3 linked regions of the Stegostoma tigrinum genome follow. Each later gene encodes a partner of the first gene's protein in a complex. Links are inferred from orthologs where the notes say so. Each region holds a gene or a part of one and is shown in the gene's direction. Other genes may lie near its edges.

Evidence for each region.
Region 2: gtf2h4 (region 1) and polr2b share a complex: the UniProt entries of both Homo sapiens proteins name them as parts of the TBP-based Pol II pre-initiation complex. The link is inferred for Stegostoma tigrinum from reciprocal best matches to the Homo sapiens genes GTF2H4 and POLR2B.
Region 3: gtf2h4 (region 1) and gtf2a1 share a complex: the UniProt entries of both Homo sapiens proteins name them as parts of the TBP-based Pol II pre-initiation complex. The link is inferred for Stegostoma tigrinum from reciprocal best matches to the Homo sapiens genes GTF2H4 and GTF2A1.

The regions. Positions count from the first base shown.
Region 1 is NC_081387.1:14,071,992-14,078,925, forward strand, and holds the start of gtf2h4 (general transcription factor IIH subunit 4), read left to right. Parts: upstream 1-3,924; 5' UTR 3,925-4,024; intron 4,025-4,030; exon of another isoform or gene 4,031-4,175; intron 4,176-5,045; exon of another isoform or gene 5,046-5,139; intron 5,140-6,934. UniProt on the Homo sapiens protein: Component of the general transcription and DNA repair factor IIH (TFIIH) core complex, which is involved in general and transcription-coupled nucleotide excision repair (NER) of damaged DNA and, when complexed to CAK, in RNA transcription by RNA polymerase II.
Region 2 is NC_081354.1:16,642,828-16,650,606, reverse strand, and holds the start of polr2b (DNA-directed RNA polymerase II subunit RPB2), read left to right. Parts: upstream 1-4,778; 5' UTR 4,779-4,913; coding exon 4,914-4,938; intron 4,939-7,779. UniProt on the Homo sapiens protein: Catalytic core component of RNA polymerase II (Pol II), a DNA-dependent RNA polymerase which synthesizes mRNA precursors and many functional non-coding RNAs using the four ribonucleoside triphosphates as substrates.
Region 3 is NC_081363.1:9,877,724-9,885,142, forward strand, and holds the start of gtf2a1 (transcription initiation factor IIA subunit 1), read left to right. Parts: upstream 1-4,397; 5' UTR 4,398-4,581; coding exon 4,582-4,611; intron 4,612-5,231; exon of another isoform or gene 5,232-5,248; coding exon of another isoform or gene 5,249-5,251; intron 5,252-7,419. UniProt on the Homo sapiens protein: TFIIA is a component of the transcription machinery of RNA polymerase II and plays an important role in transcriptional activation. TFIIA in a complex with TBP mediates transcriptional activity.

The DNA.
Region 1 (6,934 bases):
TTGGGTAGCTATGGGACTCTGGGTTTCTGTCGCCAGAAATGGAAGCAGTGGGGTCATGAAAAGGGGAGGGAGGTGTCTGAGATAGACCAAGTGAACTTGAGGGTGGGGTGGAAGTTGTTAGTGAAGTCAGTGACTTGCTCCAGTTCAGCCTAGATGCAGGGTGCAGCATCGATGCGATGGCGGAAGAGTTGAGGAACAGTATCGATGTGTGTACTGAAGAGGGACCATGCAACCCACAAAGAGGCAGGAATAGCTGGGGTCCATGCGACTGCCCATGGCCACTTCCTGGATTTAAAGAAAGTGGGAAGAATTGAAGAAAAAGTTATCGAACGTGATGACTAGATGGCTGAGGCAGAGGAAGGTATTGTGGGGGGGTGGGGTTGAGGACTAGATGGTTCTGTTGGACAATAAAAGCTGAGGGTCTGCAGGCTGTCCTTTGGAGCACCGCTGTGTTGGGTTTGCTGCAGTATTCCAGTGAGGCTCAGCACATGCAAGAAAAACAACATCTCATCTTCCTCTGCAGCCTTCAGGACTCAGTATTGAGTTCAATCATTTTAATGCCTGAGCACTTATTTCCATATCCTTTATCCACCCCCACAGCCCAGGCTCTGTCATCACATGGGCTGTTTTTATCAGAGCCAACCCATTTTCATCCACTAATGGTCCCCATTATCTGTTTTTCTTCCTCCCTGGCTTACCTTTATTCATTCCTTTGTCTGCTCAACTGCTGATTTTTTTTTTCTCTCTCTGGGCTCCATCTCCATTACTCCTTCTGCACCACAACACCACCCCCGGCCATGCCCTGTCGTCAGATATATGCCATCTTTTCCTAGCTACAAACAGATCTGTAGAAGGCTCATTCTACCTGAAACATTGACTCTGTTTCTTGTCCACAGATGCTGCCAGTTCAGTTCCTCCAGCAATTTTACAGTTCTTCATGTTTTGTTAAACTTAAAGTCAACCGGTTCATCTTTCCTTCAGCAGTTGTTATAAGCTGTGCCTTTTAGTTGATATGTCAGAGACAGTTTATAAGCTAATGAGTCACTTTGTGTTTGGTGCATACCAGTGGAAGCATTGGAGAAAGATGACTGAACAGAAATATTGGGTTCAGCTCAAGGGTCATTTCAGCAATCCAAGTATGGGGAAGGGAGCAGGAATGTGTGTCTTTTGTCTGTCTCAGGGCATTAGAGTTTTAATTTATAGTTTTATATGACAGTGATTTATAGCAGTTTAGCTATAAATAGAGTCTAACTATTTGTAATAAATAGAAATTCTTGTTAACTGCAAACTTCCATACCACAACAAGATAGGAATTATGCCTTCAACCCATTGAGTCAGCTCTGCTTTCTATCAACCTATGTCTGAAAGTCAGGCTTATTGGGGAAATTTGTGTATTTATCTTAATAGCTGTAACATTTGTGACAACTCCAGGAATAGTGCAGCTTCATTTCTAGTGCTCTACTCCAGTGAATTGTGACAATATTTGGGAGCTCAACCCAAATAAAATTTGATACAGGATTTGTATGTGGGAGCAGGAGATAATGCAAGTGAAGAAAAAAAAATCAGTTTCTGTTGTGCATTTAACACATGACACTGAAAACGCGAAAGGATTTCCTGCAGGTAGAAGGGTTGTTCTTGAGGGAAATTTCAAAACCCAGTTAGAGTGACCTGACACAAGTGCTGGTGGTATTATTGCATGTCAAAGCTGAGAAGGCAAAATAACTGAGGTACCAGCACAACATTTGGGTTTAGAGGAAATATAAGAGACTGAGAACCAAATGATATTCCGTTAAAATTGAAGAAGATCAAGCATGAGGAGAGAATGAGAAATCTGGAGTTGGAATTCCAAAGTAAAAAAAAGATGAGAAAATGACGTGGTTATGGAAATACAGGGGCAGGAAATGGAAATGAAAAGACGAAGCTGGTTGCTGGGATGGCAGGTCTGATAGATGAACAGAAATTAAATTGATTAGACCTATATTCACTAGAGTTTTTAAGAACGGGGTCATCGTATAGAAAGCTATAAAATTCAAAAGGACTAGACATGGTAAACAAAGGAAGGATGTTCTCAGTCACTTGGGAGTGCAGGACCAGGGGTCACAGTCTAAGTGTACTGGTTAGGTTATTTAGGACAAAGATGAGGAGACATTTCTTTACTCAGGGCGTGGTGAACGTATAGAATTCTTTGCCATAGAAAGCATTTGAAGCCAAGACATCTCAAGAAGAGGTTATATATAGTCTTAGGGCTAAACGGATTAAAGAGTATGGGGAGAAAGTGAGAACAGGATACTATGTTGGATGATCAACTTTGAACACGTTGACTGGCAGAGCAGAATTGAGTATTAGTGTTTAATTATGCAATTAACTAATGCAAAGCAGAGACTATGACAGTTTAAGCATTTTTGTCAATTTCTAATCTTTCAATGACATTTTGATTGTGTAGTTTGAAGAATGACAAGACTGTGTACACTAATTGCCTAGAAAGAACACCAGGTCTAACTTTATTCCTCTGTGAAATGTTTTTCTTCTGAGATTTTACAAACTTATGCCGATTTCAGATGAGTTTAAAATATATATTTTGCAACGACCAACATTACAAGTTCCAAACTTCTTTCCCACTTGTCTGTTTATTTATGCAATTTCCCAGGATTTAAAAGGTCTTTTGCAAGATCAAAGAATAGTTTTGGTTTTGTTTTCTATTTAGTCACAATGTAAAAGTCACCATGGTCCCGTTTTCTCATGACAGAAATTTAACTTTCTTTTTAACCTGAAGGTCAATATGCCTCAGGTGACGGGAGATGTTGAGAATAACAGTCCCTTGTGATAACATCAGTTGGTGCAGAATGGAACCTACCAGAGTAATCTTGTTACATTGCATTGCAAACCAGCCATCCAGCCCACTGAGCTAACTGTGCCCCACATTCTCAACGTATGACATTCCTGTTCTAAAAGAATTAAATGTGGTGTCAAATAAAAACAGAAATTGCTGGCAAAGTCAGCAGGTCAGGAGCAACTGTGGGAGGAAAGCAGAGCTAACGTTTTGAGACCAGTGAATCTTCAGACTGACTTGGTGAATATTTGTCACCCAATTGACATTCCCACATTAGATAATCTAACTGTTATTGCAATGCCATACGTGAGAGTTTGTGGGTTTGTCTTGCATTCTCTACTCCAAGATAGAAAAACAAAACAAATTTGGATGCTCGAGGGGACGCAGGGCACTATTTAAAATCGCCAAGTTCCATTGCCTTCATTTCAGAATAAGCTATAAATACGTAAAAGCAGTCACTTGAATTTGTGAGGTTACGCGTTGGTGCAGAAACAGGAATTGCTGGCAAAATAAAATCATCAGGACTGCAGCATCTGTGGAGAGAAAGCAGAATTGGCGTTTCAAGTCCAGTTACCCTCAATAAACTCTGCTTTCTCTCTGACATTATCTGTTGGAGAGAGAGCGGAGTGAAATGAAGGTAATTGGGCTTGAAACGTCAATTCTGCTTTCTCTCCACAGATAGTAGTCAGAGGTAATGGGAACTGCAGATGCTGGAGAATTCCAAGATAATAAAATGTGAGGCTGGATGAACACAGCAGGCCAAGCAGCATCTCAGGAGCACAAAAGCTGACGTTTCGGGCCTAGACCCTTCATCAGAGAGGCTGCTTGGCCTGCTGTGTTCATCCAGCCTCACATTTTATTATCTTAGTAGTCAGAGGTGCTGGGTTTTTGTTTTCGAGTAATACTTGCATTCTTTTCTAATTCCCAGCATCCGCGTTGGTGTTTCTGTTTTGGCTGTGCGGCAGATCGCAGCTTCACCCGGGACACGAGCTGGAGTCGGGGCTGGGGAGGAGCCGGAAGTCCCGTGACGTTTGGTGACGTCGTCGTGAAAGTGGTCTATCGGGCGTCTTGGTGACGTCGTCGGCAGGCGCCGACATGGGACCTGCGCATGCGCGGGCTCACTTCCAGCTTCCCTATGAGTGACAACGTGAGGGAGGGAGAGAAAGAGATTGTCCCTATTCAAGAAAAACAAAGGTGGGAGGAACCTTTTGCAGATTTTCCTTTTATGTGCTGCTGACTAACAGACTGTTACCACTCATGGGACTTGATGGTGGACAAACAGGGTTCTTTAAGACCTTAAAAGAACGAAACGTAGTGTTTAGAACAGTGAGACCTAGGGGTTCAGGTACGTACTACTTTAAAGTTTGCAACACGTGTAGACAGGCTGGAGTTGAAGGCATTTAGCACACTTAGCTTCATTGCTCAGGCCTTCAAGTGTGGGAGTTGGGGCGTCTTGTTGAGGTTGTACAGGCCATTGGTGAGTCCCATTCACCCTGTTACGGGGAGGATATTGTTAAGCTGGAGGGGGTTCACCATTCACCTTTCCAATGCTTCTGTATCCTTCCTATAATGTGGCGACCAGAACTGTACGCAATACTCCCAAGTGCGGGCGCACCAGAGTTTTGTACAGCTGCAACATGACCTCGTGGCTCCAAAACTCAATCCCTCTACCAATAAAACCTAACACGGCGTATGCCTTTCTAAAGTTAAGCTGGAGAGAAAAGATTTACCAGGATGTTGCTGGCAAGGGAGGGTTATAAGGAGAGGGTTGGGACTTTTATTACTCACTGGAGCATAGGAGGTTGTGAGGGGATTTTTATAGAAGTTTATAAAATCAGAAGGGGCATAGATGAGGTGAATGCGGGTGACTTTTATCTAGGGTGTGGGGTTTCAAGACTCTGGAACATATTTTTAAGGTAAGGGGAGAAAAGATTTTAAAAAGGTGTGAGTACTTTTTTTTAACAGTGTGGTTTGTGTGTGAATGAACTTGCAGAGGTGATTGGGTGGATGCGTGTACAGTTACAATGATTAAAAAGGCATTTGGATAAGTACCTGAATAGGAATGGTTAGAAGGATATGTGCCACGAGCAGGCAGGTCAGACTAGTTTAGTTTGGGGTTATGGTCGACATGGACTGGTTGGACCAAAGGGCCTGGTTCCATGCTGTATAAATGCATGAAAATAAAGTCATGTGTTTGCAATGGTGCCTTTCACAGGATATCTCAGGTATCCCAGAGTGCTCACGGTTATTTCAGCGTAGGGAACACGACAGCCAATCTGCACTCGGCGAACTTCCGCTAAGGCCTCACGGTAATCCCCGGGACTGATTGTTTTTCTCTTGTTTTGTTGTTTGGTGTTGATTTGATTGAGGATTTCACATGTGTGTGTCATTACAGGGATATGTGTGTGTCTGTGTGAAGTTAGTGTGCTGCTCACTTTTTGTGTGCCCGTTTGCGTCTCGTTTTTGGCCTCAACAAGACGGGGGGAGGGAACCAAAAGTCTTTCACTGTCGGGATGTAGCCCCTCTGTTGATAGCTCCTCAGCTGTGCAAACTGAAACCAAGTTTATCACTGCCCTAGGCTAAAGGGGTTTCCTTGATCCTACCTGCCAAAGATTTCTCATGTCCCCTCCTGGCTCTGCTTAGCTCTCTTTAGGTCCTTCCTGGCTAACTTGTAACTCTCAAGTGCTTTAACTGAGTCTTCACGCCTCATCTTTACATCAGCCTCCTTCTTCCTCTTGACAAGAGATTCAACTTCTTTAGTAAACCACGGTTCCCTCACTCGGCCACTTACTCCCTGACTGACAGGTACATACTTATCATGAACACGCAGTAGCTGTTCCTTGAACAAGCTCCACACTTCAATTGTGCCCCGCCCCTGCAGTTTCCTTCCCCATCCTATGCATCCTAAATCTTGCCTAATCGCCTCATAATTGTCTTTCCCCCAGCTATAACTCTTCCCCTGTAGAATATACCTATCCCTTTCCATCGCTAAAGTAAACGTAACTGAATTGTGGTCACTATCACCAAAGTGCTCACCTACCTCCAAATCTAACACCTGGCCTGGTTCATTACCCAATACCAAATCCGATGTTGCCTCGCCTCTCGTTGGCCTATCTACGTACTGTGTCAGGAAACCCTCCTGCATACATTGGACAAAAACTGACCCGTCTAAAGTACTCTAACTATAGCGTTTCCAGTCAATATTTGGAAAGTTAAAGTCCCCCATAACAACTACCTTGTTACTTTTGCTCCTATCCAGAATCATCTTTGCAATCCTTTCCTCTACATCTCTGGAACTTTTCGGAGGCCTATAGAAAACTCCCAACAGGGTGACCTCTCCTTTCCTGTTTCTAACCTCAGCCCATACTACCTCAGTAGATGAGTCCTCATTGAACGTCCTTTCTGCAACTGTAATACAATGCCACACCTCCCCGCTCTTTTACCGCCTTCCCTGATCTTAATGAAACATCTAAATCCCAGAAGCTGCAACAACCATTCCTGTCCCTGCTCTATCCATGTCTCCGAAATGGCCACAACATCGAGTCCCAGGTACCAACCCATGCTGCATGTTCACCCATCTTATTGCGGATGCTCCTGGCATTGAAGTAGACACACTTCAAACCACCTTTCTTCCTGCCGGTACCCTTCTGTGACCGTAAAACCTTATTCGTGATCTCACTACTCTCAACCTCCTGGACACAGGAGCTACAGTTCAGGTTCCCATCCTCCTGCTGAATTAGTTTAAACCCTCCCGAAGAACATTAGCAAATTCCCCCCCAGGATATTGGTGCCCCTCTGGTTCAGGTGTAGACCATCCCGTTTGCAGAAGTCCCACCTACCCCAGAATGAGCCCCAGAGATAACAACTCTGATTGTTCTAGCTCTAAGCTTCCAACCTAGCTCCTTGAATTTCTGCCTTACATCCCCGTCCCTTTTCCTTCATATGTCGTTGGTGCCTATGTGGACCATGACTTGGGGCTGCTTCCCCTCCCCCTTAAGGTTCCCGAAAACATGATCTGAGACATCACAGACCCTGGCACCTGAGAGGCAAAACACACCGACAGTGAGTCTCTCTCGTTCGCACAGAATCTCCTATCTGCCCCCC
Region 2 (7,779 bases), on another chromosome or scaffold:
CCCCAGCACCACAGTTGACACAGTCCTCAGCCGGGTCCAACTCTTCTCTCACATTTCAGCCCTCAGCTCCTTTCCTCCCTCCCCCAACAATGATAGCGTTCCCTTTGTCTTCACCTATCATCCCACCAACAGCCACATCCAGAGGATCATTAGTCACCATTTCCACCACCTCCAGCAGGATGCTACCTCCAGACACATATTCCCCTGCTCTCCCTTCTTCTGCAAGGACTAATCCCTCAAAGACTCCCTGGTCAGCTCCTCCTTCACTCCCAACACACCCCCACAGCCACACAGCACCTTTGCCTCCACTGAACCTGAAACATTAACTCTGATTTCACTCCACAGATGCTGCCAGACCTGCTGAGATTTACCAGCAATTTTTTGTTTTTGTTTCAGATTTCCAGCACCTCCAGCAGAAATTGAAACAGAATCCCTGCAGTGTGGACGCAGGCCATTTAGCCCATCAATTCCACACCAAACGTCTGAAGAGCATCTCACCCAGATCCACCCCCACTCTATGTCAATAACCCTCCATTTGCCGTGGCTAATCCACCTAACCTGCACATCCCTGGACACCATAGTCAATTTCTCATGGCCAATTCACCTAACCTACATATCTTTCAACTGTGGAAGGAAACCAGAGCATCTGGAGGAAACCCACGCAGAATCAGGGGGATTGTTACAGTCACCCAAGGTTGGAATTGAACCCGGATCCCTGACACTGGGAAGCAGCAGGGCTAACCACTGAACCACTGTGCTGCCCATTTTGGCTCTTATGGGATTTTTTTTTAGTTAAAATTCTGATTCCCTTATAAAACTCCCTGACATGCAAATACAGACAGATATAGCTGGACAAAAAGGATCATGGGTGGAGGGGAAAAACTGAGAAAACAGGTATTTGGTTCTTGTCCACAGGGTTCCATGAAATGATCCTTTTCCTTGTCAGGACTTAGTGTTCTCCATTCTCTCCCCTCCAGGCACTTTCACCTTCTTGCAGGAAGCACAGAGTGACTGATTCACAAATTGCAAAGTCTCTTACTTACTGGTTACTAGCCACAGCTTATACTAATGGGTGAGGAAAAAATAAAATGAAATTCTTTAAGGTTTGGGTGTACCTGTATTCATTTTTACTGCGCAGAGAGACAGATAAAGCCATTCTGGATGTCTAAAGCTATCTTCAAACCAATTACATAGTTGTTGGCAGGCAGATGTCCTTTATCAGTGATAATGGGAACTGCAGATGCTGGAGAATCCAAGATAATAAAATGTGAGGCTGGATGAACACAGCAGGCCCAGCAGCATCTCAGGAGCACAAAAGCTGACGTTTCGGGCCTAGACCCTTCATCAGAGAGGGGGATGGGGTGGGGGTTCTGGAATAAATAGGGAGAGAGGGGGAGGCGGACCGAAGATGGAGAGAAAAGAAGATAGGTGGAGAGGAGAGTATAGGTGGGGAGGTAGGGAGGGGATAGGTCAGTCCAGGGAAGACGGACAGGTCAAGGAGGTGGGATGAGGTTAGTAGGTAGGAGATGGAGGTGCGGCTTGGGGTGGGAGGAAGGGATGGGTGAGAGGAAGAACAGGTTAGGGAGGCAGAGACAGGTTGGACTGGTTTTGGGTTGCAGTGGGTGGAGGGGAAGAGCTGGGCTGGTTGTGTGGTGCAGTGGGGGGAGGGGACGAACTGGGCTGGTTTTGGGATGCGGTGGGGGAAGGGGAGATTTTGAAGCTGGTGAAGTCCACATTGATACCATTGGGCTGCAGGGTTCCCAAGCGGAATATGAGTTGCTGGGTATCAATGGTATCAATGTGGAAGTTCCACATTGATACCCAGCAGCTCATATTCCGCTTGGGAACCCTGCAGCCCAATGGTATCAATGTGGACTTCACCAGCTTCAAAATCTCCCCTTCCCCCACCGCATCCCAAAACCAGCCCAGTTCGTCCCCTCCCCCCACTGCACCACACAACCAGCCCAGCTCTTCCCCTCCACCCTGTGCATCCCAAAACCAGTCCAACCTGTCTCTGCCTCCCTAACCTGTTCTTCCTCTCACCCATCCCTTCTTCCCACCCCAAGCCGCACCTCCATCTCCTACCTACTAACCTCATCCCACCTCCTTGACTTGTCCGTCTTCCCTAGACTGACCTATCCCCTCCCTACCTCTCCACCTATCTTTTCTCTCCATCTTCGGTCCACCTCCCCCTCTCTCCCTATTTATTCCAGAACCCTCACCCCATTCCCCTCTCTGATGAAGGGTCTAGGCCCGAAACGTCAGCTTTTGTGCTCCTGAGATGCTGCTGGGCCAGATGTCCTTTATCATTGACAACTGGTCACCAGACCAATCAGCCACTTGTCGCGAGCTGAATCTCACCTTATACACAGTCCATAGTACCAGGTGTCTGCAATCAACTCCCTGTACTGGTTAAACAAAGCAACAATGTAACTTAAAATAAGTGTTGGTGTCTTACTTTAAAAAGTGCAGCAATCCCTTCTACAATCCTTGGTTTTTAAAACAGTCCTTTACTCATTGCAGTCCACAATCAAAAATATAGTGAAATAAAAGTAATATTGAGCAGGTTAGATTTTGATCCTAAATCGTATACAACTGAGACTTCAGAATTCAAGTAAACATGAGGTACACATGAGTTTACATAAAAATTATGATCTAATACTCCACTCATTTGTGGGCTTCCTTCCCTTGACTTCCAACTTGTTTGGGTTAACAGTGGTTCCTTTTAGCTCCAAATGTTTCCAAGATATGGAGCCAAATTCCCTGGGACTTATCCTAAGCCATAATTGCTTGTAATTTGCAAGTTTCTTATGATTTAACAATCTCCCAGTTCCGAAATGTAATTCACATCTATCAGCAAACAATGCACACATGAATTTTTAAGCTCTCTGCATCTACATTTTGGCATAACCTGACGTTTCCTGTTTACTTTTAGGTTAAATTAACTCTAACTCCCTCTAGACAAGTATTACTGCAAGCATTGCAGCCAGTTAAGAACGCCCATCCATTGTTTTTCAGCTGTATCTGTTCTATTTTGATTTTATGAAAAAAGCGGTAATCTTCAAAACTAACATTTGCCTTAAGTATTCTGACAATCACCAAGGCCCAACATTTCAAATTGCCTCAGAGATAATGGGAACTGCAGATGCTGGAGATTCCAAGATAATAAAATGTGAGGCTGGATGAACACAGCAGGCCAAGCAGCATCTCAGGAGCACAAAAGCTGACGTTTCGGGCCTAGACCCTTCATCAGATGAAGGGTCTAGGCCCGAAACGTCAGCTTTTGTGCTCCTGAGATGCTGCTTGGCCTGCTGTGTTCATCCAGACTCACATTTTATTATCTATTTCAAATTGCCAGCTGTTAACCTGTCAAAGCAACAGTATACCTATCTTTTAACTGTACTTGAGTTCAAAGTGCTTCAGTTGCATTTATCCCATTTTCCTGTTTCAAACTTTCATATCATTAGTAATTTATATGATAGCATATGAACCATTAACTATATATCTGCAACACCACAGACACCTCCCACTCCCTCTGTGCATTTATAGTCAGAAAGAATACCCACTTTTTCTGTGAGATTGTATGATCAGGTTTGGAGTATACCGTATCCTTTTCTCATCCCATACCTCCACCTGTCACAACAAATTTAAATTTAGCCAGGTTGGTAATCTGGCCAACTATAAAGGTTTCACACTGTATCAGGTATGTTTCAGTATTAAGAACAAGTCAGCCAGGTTTCTCCACTCAACAACAAATAACTGCTTTAGTACCAAAGTTAAACATGTTCAAACAAAAAAATTTCAGACTATTGACAAGCATTTTAGATGATACAAATATTCCTGTTAAAAAATACATACACATAAACACATCCAAGTCTGAGGGGCAACAAAAAGGAAACATTCTGCAGTGTTAACTTTAAAGTGCTTTTTCCAAGTAATAGTTCAGCTCATTAAGACATTATAGATCATAAATTGTCCCGAATGGTTTTCTGATTCCAAAGTTATTCTACATACACAACCTGCAGGCACTGATGTGTCTTTCTGGAATGGTTGTACTGACTGAATTGTCTTTGTTCAAATGGTGCGGGTAGATTCCAACTAATCCTTTCCACTCATCCACCAACGTGGTAAAGGTGACTTTTGGCAGGTTGACAGCTGACGCACTGAGATGAGATGAGATGCAGAGAAAGAAGACGGAGCAATAGGCTGTTGATCTTCACACAGGTCAAATTGCTTCTGACTGAGTTCAAAAACAGAATAGTCTGATTCCACTCACAACCTGGGCCACGCCACCTCTCCCTGAAATTCCAGACATGTGTAAGCTCTCTGCTCCAGTAGGTGCAACATAATTGCTGTTGTACACAGAACCTTTCCTTATCCAAGTGTTCTTTGTTCAAGATATAAGTATATATGAGTCCACAATAATACCTATAAAAGATAATATTTGGATCACATCTCTAGCATTCAATTTATATCCCAGAAACAACACCCTCTCTCTCTTTCTGTCTCTATGAGTGATTGACCCAGAGGCAGTACCCTCTGCAGTGGGTTACGGACCCATGTTCAGAGTCGTCTGCACTAGATAGTTGACCCAGATAATATGTCCTTTGCACTGGGTGACTGACCCAGAGACAGTGCCCTCTGCACTTGGTGATTGACCCAGAGACTGTGCTCTTTGAACTAGTGAAATGACCCACAGACAGGGCCCTCTGCACTGGGTGACTGATCCAGAGGTGGCGCTGTCTCTCCCCCACTCAGTGAATGGATGAGAAGATGGAGCATGCGCAGTGCTCACTACTGCTCCGTTTGGTGCCGAGGCGGCGGACGAGTATAGGTTTCATCCGTCGCTTTAACTGGTCGGATCCAGCCGGTTTGTTTTCTCCGTTCCCGTTAACCCATAATCGGCTGTCGAGATGTACGATCCGGACGACGGTGAGGGTGAGTGGTGCTGGCTTTCCATGCTTTTTTTTAAAATCCGTACGTTTTGCGGAGTTTAAAATGGCGGATGTTGAGGTGGGTTGGCGCCGGCTCTGGGAGCCTGGCCTAAGGCCTCGGCCTGACCCTCCAGCCCAGGTGCTGACTTCAGCCCTGATTTTTCTGTTGGGGCCTTTGAGGGGAGACGCAAACCGCCAGCCGTCTTCTAGTCACTGAGCTGCTATGTGACCTGATCCAGAGAGGCTTTTTTGACTCTAAGCTCCCAGGGGTTGGAGGGAAGTTGCTGACATGCACCAATTTGTGCACGAAGGTCTATAAACGTCACTTATAGGCAACATGGTCAGCCGCGGGCTTGATTCTAGTCCAACTTAAAGAGACATGTTAAAGTCCATCGTTTAGGTTGACACACTGCTGCAGCTGACGGGGAATGTTGAATTGCCAGCAGGTGCTGTCTTTCAGATGATGGTGTGCTTGCCCCCTCAAAATAAATATTGCCCCATAAAGTACCCCATTGTACCACAGAAAGAGGGGTAGGGGAGTTCTGACCTTCAACCAACTTCATTGCAGCTGTTATCATTATTGTTTGCTATGATCTGTACGTTATAACAATGATTGTTCTTTTAAAGGTCTTAGTGTGTGGTGTTTGTTATGTTTGTGTTTTTGTTCTCTGCCACTGAAGCAGTTAATTCAGCACATCTATTGTGTTCTCTTCCACCTTTCAGGCTTCCAGTAAGGATAATCATACTTTCATTGGTCCTTTGTTCTGGGTATTGTTGTGGCTCTTACACTTGATATAGTCCCTGTCTTTGTTTTCTCAATGCTAGGGAAGAAAGTTTTTAATGTTTGTGGCACCCACCTGGTTAAGTTGTTTAATGTCAGATTTGACTGGACCACATCAAGCAGTATTAAGCCAAGACACGCAAGAGCAGGCCTGAGTGTTAAATATTCCTGGGTACGATGCTTAGAAGAGAGAGGAGAGGAGGATTGATGATATTATTGGTTAAGGAGTGCAATGCATTGTTGGAGAAAGAGGAGGTCCCAGAGGATTCAGGGACAGAATCTGGTTAGAGCTGAGGAACAAAAAAGGATGCAAGTACATTGCTTGGTATAGCCCATAACATCCAACTTATGGAAAGGATAAACAAATCAGGAAAATTACAGAGAAATTGCAACACTACTGTTATAATTGGGGATTTCTGCTGCCAAAATGTAGACTGCGACAGTGGTAGTGTTAAGGATACAAAAGGGCAAAAATGTTCCTCAATTGTTATCTAGAAAGATTTTCTCTAGCAGTATATATTCAGTGCAACCAGAAAGTACATTGCTGAACATCCACAACTTCCACGCCCTTCTGCTGGCTAACATTGTAAGTAATTCCCTGTCCTTGAGTATGCTATATTAAATGTTTAGTCCTCATCCTCAGGAGAAAAAAAACAATTTCATTGCCACTGTCCTCGTAAACTACTGATCTGTCTGCATTCTCCTTTTCCACTCTAGAATGTTTGAACATGTTATCATTTCTGAAATCCATGAATTGCTATTGTTGTCTTATACTTGTGACTCACCTGACATCCATCCTTTCTTATTTCATGGATATTGTTGCTCAATGCCACCTTGATTGAAGTCATTGATTGCCATTGGTGATCACTTCATATCTGCGAGGTAAGCTCAGGGTGGATTGAACATTTCCAGTCACTTCTAGGCTGCCCAACCGTGAGTCTTGTCTCTGTCTTGCCTCAGCCGACTTCTGTGTCGTGATGTGTCTAGCACTGATATTTCGGCCACAAGTTCAGTGATAGTTCAGGCATCCCTTCATTTATAATGATGGAAGGATGAGTCTCCAAGTAAAAAATCTCCAATACATTTATGTCCTTTCTTTTAAAGAAACTGAGACCAAGACTGCTCCAGAGGTAGTCTCACTCATGCCCTAAATAAGTGAAGCATTACCTTCTACTTTTATACTAAATTCTCCTTGCAATGAACAAGAAAGATTTTAGCTTTTCTAATTATTTGCTATACCTGGACACTTCTTGAGATTTATGTACAAAGGCATCCAGATTCCTCTTAATTTCTGAGCTCTGCTACTTCTCACCATCTAGATAACGTTTTTCCTTTATTCCTCCTTTCCTCATGTTGCATTCATTCAGCCTCAGTTGTAATGATGCCATTTAGTGCCGCAGCCTCATGGATTGCAATTTAAAAGTGTGTTCCCATTTAACAAAATGATCACTTAATCGCATCATCTGTATCAGGGGTTTTAAACAAAAAGGTCTATCAACCCAAATTCATTAGTAGACATAATTTATGGGTTTTTTATCAAAACAGAATTCAGCAAAAGTGTAATCATTGATTAATGTGCACAGTGGACTAGAAATAAGTGTTTATTCCCATAAACATTCCCCAAGACTCACGTGCAAGCTCACTTCCACGTTTTCTTCAGGAAAACGTAAAACAAAGATTCCACTGCAATGAATTGTTTTTTGAATAAAGCTTTGAAAAGGGGCTATTCTGAAAGACAAAAGGACAAAACATAAAGTTGTTTCAGAGTTTGTTGCTCTGATGTCTTGACGTGTACGGTCATCATTAATTATGCATTGTTGTTTCTGCCCACAAGCAGAGTTTGCTCAAGAAATAGTCTTGTCATGTTCTTTCAGTCACTTTCAAAAAAGCAAATGGTTTTCACTCTTAATACGGTGAGTTTTCTTTTCAGAAGTGGAAAAGAACACCTGGGCAGCTTCTTAGCAGGATTCCCTCCAATTCGAATGTTTCTTAGGAGGCTTTCTTCCATCTGAACCAGATCAGACAAGAACCACTTCAAGTCAGTTACTGTTCAACCCTAGTGTG
Region 3 (7,419 bases), on another chromosome or scaffold:
GAGAGGGGGTAAGTTTAGGGGAGCAGAGTAGGGAAAATTTTTCACACAGAGGGTGGTGGTTGCCTGGAACACACTGGCGGTGGAGGTGGTGGAAGCACTGTTTAAGATTAGCATTGTTTAAGGCATATCTTGATAGACACATGAACGGGAAGTGAACAGAGGTATAGAAAAGACTTATGGCCAATAAGAAGTGGGTCCAAATAAGGATTAGGAACTGATGCAGAGATAGTAAGAACTGCAGATGCTGGAGTCAGAAATAACAGAGTTTGGAGCTGGAGGAACACAGCAGGCCAGGCAGTTTCAGGTCAGGACCCTGCTTCAGAAATGGGGAGGGAGAAGGGAATTCAGAAATAAATAGAGAGGAGGCGTGGGGCGGGGGAAGAGGCCAGGGGTAGGCAAAATTTTGAAACTGGTAAATGGCCTAAATGTGGGTTTTACCAGTTTCAAAATTTCCCCATCCACCAAACTCGTTGCATGTCCACCCCTCCCTTCCTCCCCGCCTCCTTGACCTGACCAACCTGTCCATCTTCTCTCCCACCTGTCCGCCCCTCCCGCCTCACTGACCAATCCCCACCACTCCCTACCGGCACTCACCTATCACCATCCTACCTACCTTCCCAGCCCCACACCTCCTCTCTATTTATTTCTGAGCTTGCTTTTCCCTCCCCATTTCTGAAGAAGGATCCTGACCCAAAATGTCAACTTTTCTACTCCTCTGGTTATGCCTGGCTTGCTGTATTCCTCCAGCTCCACACTGTGTTATCTAGGAATTGATGGAGGCTCGGTGGACCGAAGGGCCTGGTCCTGTGCTATAATGTGTTGTGCTGTAGGCTGGTCCAGAAGATCAAATCACATGGAATCCATTGAGTTACCAAACTGGATACAAAATTAGCTTGGCCATAGAATACAAAGGGCAGTAATGGAGGAGTGTTTTTCTGACTGGAGGTCTGCAACCAGTAACGTTCCTCAAGAATCAGTCTGAGACCTCTGTTGTTTGTGATATAAATAAACAATGTGAATGAAAATGTCAGTGGTCTGATTATAGATTTGCAGATGACATGAAACTATTTGAGTTATGGATAGTGAGGAAGGATATCAAAGGATGCAGCAGAATATAGATCAGCTGGAAAGTTGAGCTAAGAAATGGCAGATGGAGTATAATCCCGAGGAGTACGATGTGATATATTTTCAGAGGTCAAATGAATGATAAAAGTATACAGTAAATGGTTGGACCCTTAGGTGCTTTGATATGCAGAGGGTTGTTGTGGTACAACTCCATAGTTCCTTGTCAGTGGCAACACAAGTGGATAAGGTGGTAAATAAAGCATATGGCATGTTGCCTTCATTGTTCAGGGTATTAATTATAAAAGTTGGCAAGTCATGTTGTACTTTATAAGACTTTGGTCAGGCCACATTTGGAGTACTGTGCACAGTTCTGGTTACCACAATACAGGAAGGACATGGACGCTTTGGAGAGTGTACAGAAGAGGTTTACCAGGATTGGAGTTTATGAGCTAGAAGGAGGCTGCCCAAACTTGGATTGTTTCCGCTAGAACCTCAGAGGCAACCTGATAGAAATATATAAAATTATGAGCAGTGTGGATAGAGAGAATTATTGGAATCTCTTTTCCAGCATGGAAATGTCAAATACAAGAGGACATAAGTTGAAAGTGAGAGGGATAAAGTTTAAGGGAAGTATTAAGGAAATTGCGCCTTGTAGATGGTGCTCAGGCTTTGGGGAATCAGGAGGTGAATCCTGCAATATTCCTAGTCACTGCCTGTTGTTTTAGCCACTGCACTTATATTTTAATTAATCTGATTTGACGTTAGAATTGGAATTAGGTTTACTGTAACATGTACTCAAGTTGAGGGATGTATGAATATGCATGAACAGGGATATGGAAAAGACCTACGGCCAATAAGAAATGGGTCCAAATAAGGGTTAGAAATTGATGCAGAGATAGTAAGAACTGCAAAAGTGAAAAGTATACAAATTTGCCATTTCCAGTCCATCTTAGGTACAAAAATACCTAGGTATAAAATGTTAGGTATAAACTAGAAAAATAAAGAAACAAAGTTCAGCAATACAGTTTTTCTAAAGGAGGGAGTCCATGCTGGGCATCAGCTCAAGGCCGGGAGTCCAATGCTGGGCTTCCGCGAGGCCAAGAGTCTCCTGAGTCCATGCTGGCTCAATTCTCCACCACCGATGCCATCTGAAAAATGGAGGTAAATACAGACAAAAGGAAAAAGATGAAAAGCCACGGACTTAGGAGCCATCTTGAAGGCACTGGTAATAGGTGTGAAAGAGAAGTAAAGTTGTAAATTGAGGTGTTCAGATCTACAGCAAGCTAAAACACATTAATGGGAGGTGATGGCTGAGTGGTATTATTGCTAAATAATCAATCTGGGTAACTAGGTCATGTTCTAGGGACTTGGGCTTAAAACCTGCCGTAGGCAGGTGGTGGAGGTGATAATGGGAACTGCAGATGCTGGAGAATCCAAGATAATAAAATGTGAGGCTGGATGAACACAGCAGGCCCAGCAGCATCTCAGGAGCACAAAAGCTGACGTTTCGGGCCTAGACCCTTTCTGATGAAGGTTCTAGGCCCGAAACGTCAGCTTTTGTGCTCCTGAAATGCTGCTGAGCCTGCTGTGTTCATCCAGCCTCACATTTTATTATCGTGGTAGGTGGTGGAACTTGAATTCAATGAAAATCCAGAACTAAAAATCTAATGATCTTGATTGTCACAAAAAAATACTCATCTGGTTCACTCATGTCCCTTAGGGGAGGAAATCTCCCATCCTTTCTTGGCCTGGCCTGCTGACTCCAGATCTAAAGCAATGTGGGTAAGTATGGGCACTGAAAGCTGGCCTAGCCAGCTATGTCTACATACTATGAATAAATTTTAGAAAAAACTCAGTGAGGAGAGGGGTGGAACATGATTTTTTTTGACCTCTTATCATGATCTTATTTGTTGGTGGAGCAGACTTTACGGACTGAATCTGCTCCTCTGGCAAAGGCAATGACCCATCAGTTTTACCATTTTAATTAAAAGCTTGAATTCAAAGACTAATGATGACCAGTGAAACCACTGTCAAAAAAACTATTTAGTTCACTAATGCCCTTTTAGTGAAGGAAATCTGCCATCCTTACCTGGTTTGGCCTATATGTGACTCCAGGCCCACAGCAATGTGGTTGATTCTTGACTGTTCTCTGGGGCAGAGCAGCTGGGGCTCAACAATGAATGCTGACCCACCTAGAGACGCATTCATCCCGTGTATGAAGTTTAATAAAAAGTTAATGTTTTCCTGGGGAAGGGAGTGCACAATTCAAGGTGCAAGCATGGTTTCTATAGTCTGTCTTGGTGAAAGAAATGTTCAAGAGATTTATTGATCGATTTGATTTATTGTCACATGTATTTTGTTACAAAACACAATGAAAAGAGTTGCGTAGCGTCACCACTCTCCGGCACCATCTTAAAACGCAGAAAGATGAATCATAACGTGGAATATAAAGGTGGAAAAATGAAGAAATGAAGTTCAACTTTGTAGTCCGTCTTGTTGAGTGCTTAGCCATGGGCATGTACCCTCGCCGTGCTGCCAGAACATGAATCGCCACTCTTCGATGTCATCTTGCCTCCACCAACACTGCTGCCACAATTAATCCTCACCATGTCCCATACCAGGCCAAACTCAACTCCACCACTGCCAAGAGCCTGCTCTGGGCCCAGGTCTGCCTCCACCACTGCCTCCACGAGTCTGTGCTGGACACAGATGCCATGGGCAACACAAATTTCACCTCCACCCATGGTTTAGGTGGCATGGTGGCTCAGTGGTGAGCACTGCTGCCTCACAGCTCCAGGGACAGGGGTTAAATCCCAGCACTGGGGGCCCTGTGGGGTTTGCATGTTCTCCCCATGTCTGCGTGGGTTTCCTTCAGGTGCTCTGTGCCTCGCACAATCCAAAGATGGGTAGATTAGGTGGGCTGACTTTTCCAAATTTGCCCACGGTGTCTGGGCGGGCCAGCCATGGGAAATGCAGCGACAGAGCGGGCTGAATCTGGTGGGTGGGGGAGATGGGATGCTCTTCGATGGGCCCAAAGGCCTACTTTCCGCAACCGGGGGTGGGGGGGGAAGGGGGGGTGAATTCGATGGTGGTTTGTTGTTGTGGAAATCCAGGGTTAAACATGGCAGCGGCAGGAGAGCGGGAACGGAAATACTACAACTCCCGGCATGCCCGGCGGAGGTAGCAGGACCCGGATGTGTCCGTGGGTACTCTCGCGAGATGAGGGCGGTGGGGTTTGGTTTGTTGGTTGGGTGCGGGGGCGGGGGAGCGAAGACAAGCGCTGACGCAGCGCCTCATTTGCCGGACCCTCCCTATAGCGGCAATTGAAGCTCCATTCGGCAGTATATAAGCGCTCGCTGGAAGAGGACGGACGGCTTTCCCAAGCCCGCTTCAGGCAGCACCGCCAAAAATCAATTTTAATCGCTTTTATTTTTGTTTTAAAAAAAAATCTTTTTCTTGACCAAAAAACAAACCACCTCATCTGGATATTTCATTTAAATTCTCCTCCGTATCCACATGGCGAGTTCGGCCAACTCAAACCCGGTGGTAAGATTTTTTTGTGTGTTGAGTGTGGTTGTTTTTTTAAATCCTCCGAAATAAAAGAGACTTTAAGATGGGAACCATTTTATATATTTTTAAAAAAATTATATCTATGCTCTTCATTAAAATCTGCTTTTTCCACTCCCGAGGATGAAAACAATTTTTTCTCTCTACTTTTTTATTTTAAGAAAAACCAAACGTGAAAAGTAATGTTTTGCTTTTGTTTTCTGTCTGGGGAAATTTTGAAGCAAAATTCAGCAAAGCGGAAAACTTGTTGGCATTTGAAAAGGGGGGGAAGGAACAAAAACTTCCCTTTTTTTAAAAGGAAAACAAGATTTGACTCCCTTTCTCAACATTTTTAAAAATAATTAGCGGAGCAAAGCAAGCCATATCTTGGACAAACTGACTGGATTTTTGTCAGGAGCTGTGGCTGGAGTTTTAGTTTTTACAAGCAGATTTTTTGAGGGGGGGTGGTGAGGGAGAAAACACTTCCCTCCTTTCTCTCCTGTAAAAATTTCTTTTGTCTGGACTAGTAACTACATTTTTAAGCTGAGGTGCTTTCTAAAGTGGCTTGGGAAAGAAATGGAGTGGGGGAGAAAGTGGTGGGTGAATGGTTCAATTTTTGGGTTGCACATCAAAATGAATGGTAATTTTTTTTAAATAAAAAGTTGAATTCATGAGGTGGTTTCACCTGGAAAAATCACAATTCAAGAACTGCTTTTGCTAATTGTGTGTCAAGTTTGAAACTAAGAAAAGTGCTAAGGTTTTCTTTTGGTAAGCTGTCAGGATATTACAGGCTCATGTCTGATTTAAGTTTTAGCTTTTAAAAACTTGTACTTTTGAAGGTAAATATATAACCTTTATTTTACAAAAGGAATAAAACTGAAACACCAACACACCCCTGCTGATCCCTCTAGAGAAACAGATGGAGCCTGCACTATTTGCTGATGAACCATTTTGTTTTCTGGCTGACTTTTTACAAATTTTTGTGTTGTTGGTCTGAAGGAGGCACGAGATGCTTTCCTTTCCCTGTTTCAGGGCCCCTAAGACTTTGGTTTTAGTCCTGTCCCCCTTCCTTTTGTGGCCAATCTGGTGAATCGGTCTCTCTGCTCCATAAGCTAATGTTTTGTGGAGGGTGGCCTGTTGTTTGTGCCTTCCTTCCCCTTGCTTCTGTCTTTCCTCCCCCTCCTAGATGGTCTCCTCTATTATAATCTCGGTTGCACGGTGGGGATGTGCTTGCCAGCTCTACGTCATGAGGAGGGGGGGGGGGTCCCCTTTGCATATGAGGTCAGACTGCAAGGGCTGTGCAAGAAAGCAGGGAGAGAGGGAGGCTTAACAGCAGCTGTGAGGCCCAAGGGTAAACTGCCTGCTTAAGTATGTTCCCTTGATCGGTTTTAGGCTGTGACTTATCTACCTTCTTTCTGACAAACCTTCTGCCCTCCACCCTTATCCCTGGTCCCCTCACTGTTTTTCTGTTCTGTCAGAGGCTGTGAGCTTTCCTTCAACGGTGAGCTCCTGCAGGCTTGGCTATGCTGTAGTGTTCTTTCTGAGAATGTGAATTCAGACTGCAAGCAGCATCTTTTATAGATCAGGGTGTTTTTCTTTGCATTTGTAATTCAACCAAGATGTGTGTAACTATTTTATTAAAACCACAATACTTCTGATACTGAAAATCTGAAGCAAATGCATTTGCCAATTCAGTTTTTTACTCCAGTGCAATGTTGACAACTCATTATCAGGAATGACCCTTTTTCTAAAAGTAGATGAATATTTGTAACAGTGGTTGCTGTGGTTGAATTTACATAGTCCATGATGGCAGGTAAGGGCAACCCAGTGGAATGAATTGGATAGCTCTTCCTCAAAGCACTAGTAAAGGAAAAATGGACCAAATGGCATTTCTCACTTGATTTCAGCATTACTGGTACGTGATGAAGTTCCATTTTAGAGAATATTTAGAACTCTGTCTTGGTGGGAATCATCATCTTATTTATACATTTGTGTAGCATTAAGCAAAAAGTTCTTAGCTTGTATTCATCTAAATGGTTAGACTTGTATGGTTATTTCAAAATGTCATCTTTAAATTTCTTTAAATTCTTGGCATTTTCAGAAGTCTTGCAATTTAAACAGTTCTTAATATTTGAGCAGGGAAATGTTAACTTCCCAATACAAGTGTCGGAGCTGTGAGGAAGAATAGAAGTAGATCAGTGTCTTGGCCTATTTCTACTGTTTAATTAGGCCAAGCTGAGTGGAGGCAATCTTTACTCTTTTAAAATTTTGCCCAGCAAGGATGTCAATTGACCCAGCATTCCTGACACTTTGAAGATTAGATTTCCAGTATCCTTTGTGGAAAATTTGCTTTCTGATGTTTGTTCTGACTGACATAGCTCTCATTTAAGATTATGGACTTTTCCCAGCAAACAAAATGGCTTCTCTCTACACAATTGCCTCAGTTATTTGAAATGTCTTGATTTAGCAGTTCACAACCATCTAAACATGAGACTACAAGCCAATGTTGTGAAACTTGTCATGATGTCTCTGGGTGTAGTAGGTCAATTTGTACACTTCAGAAGCAAGTTTTGAGGTCTATAATTGCATATGCTACTCCAGATAAGAACTAATCAAACTCTGTCAAACAGAAGCACTGCTTCCTCACTTTTGAATTCCACTTGCTGTTGGATAAAGGGCAACATGTGCTAACTAAGTTAGTAAGAACTGCAGATGCTGGAGGATCACAGGCCAGGCAGCATTGTAGGATCAGGAAAGCTGATATTTCTGGTTGGGACTCTTCTTCAGAAATGGGGAGTTGGAGGGGAG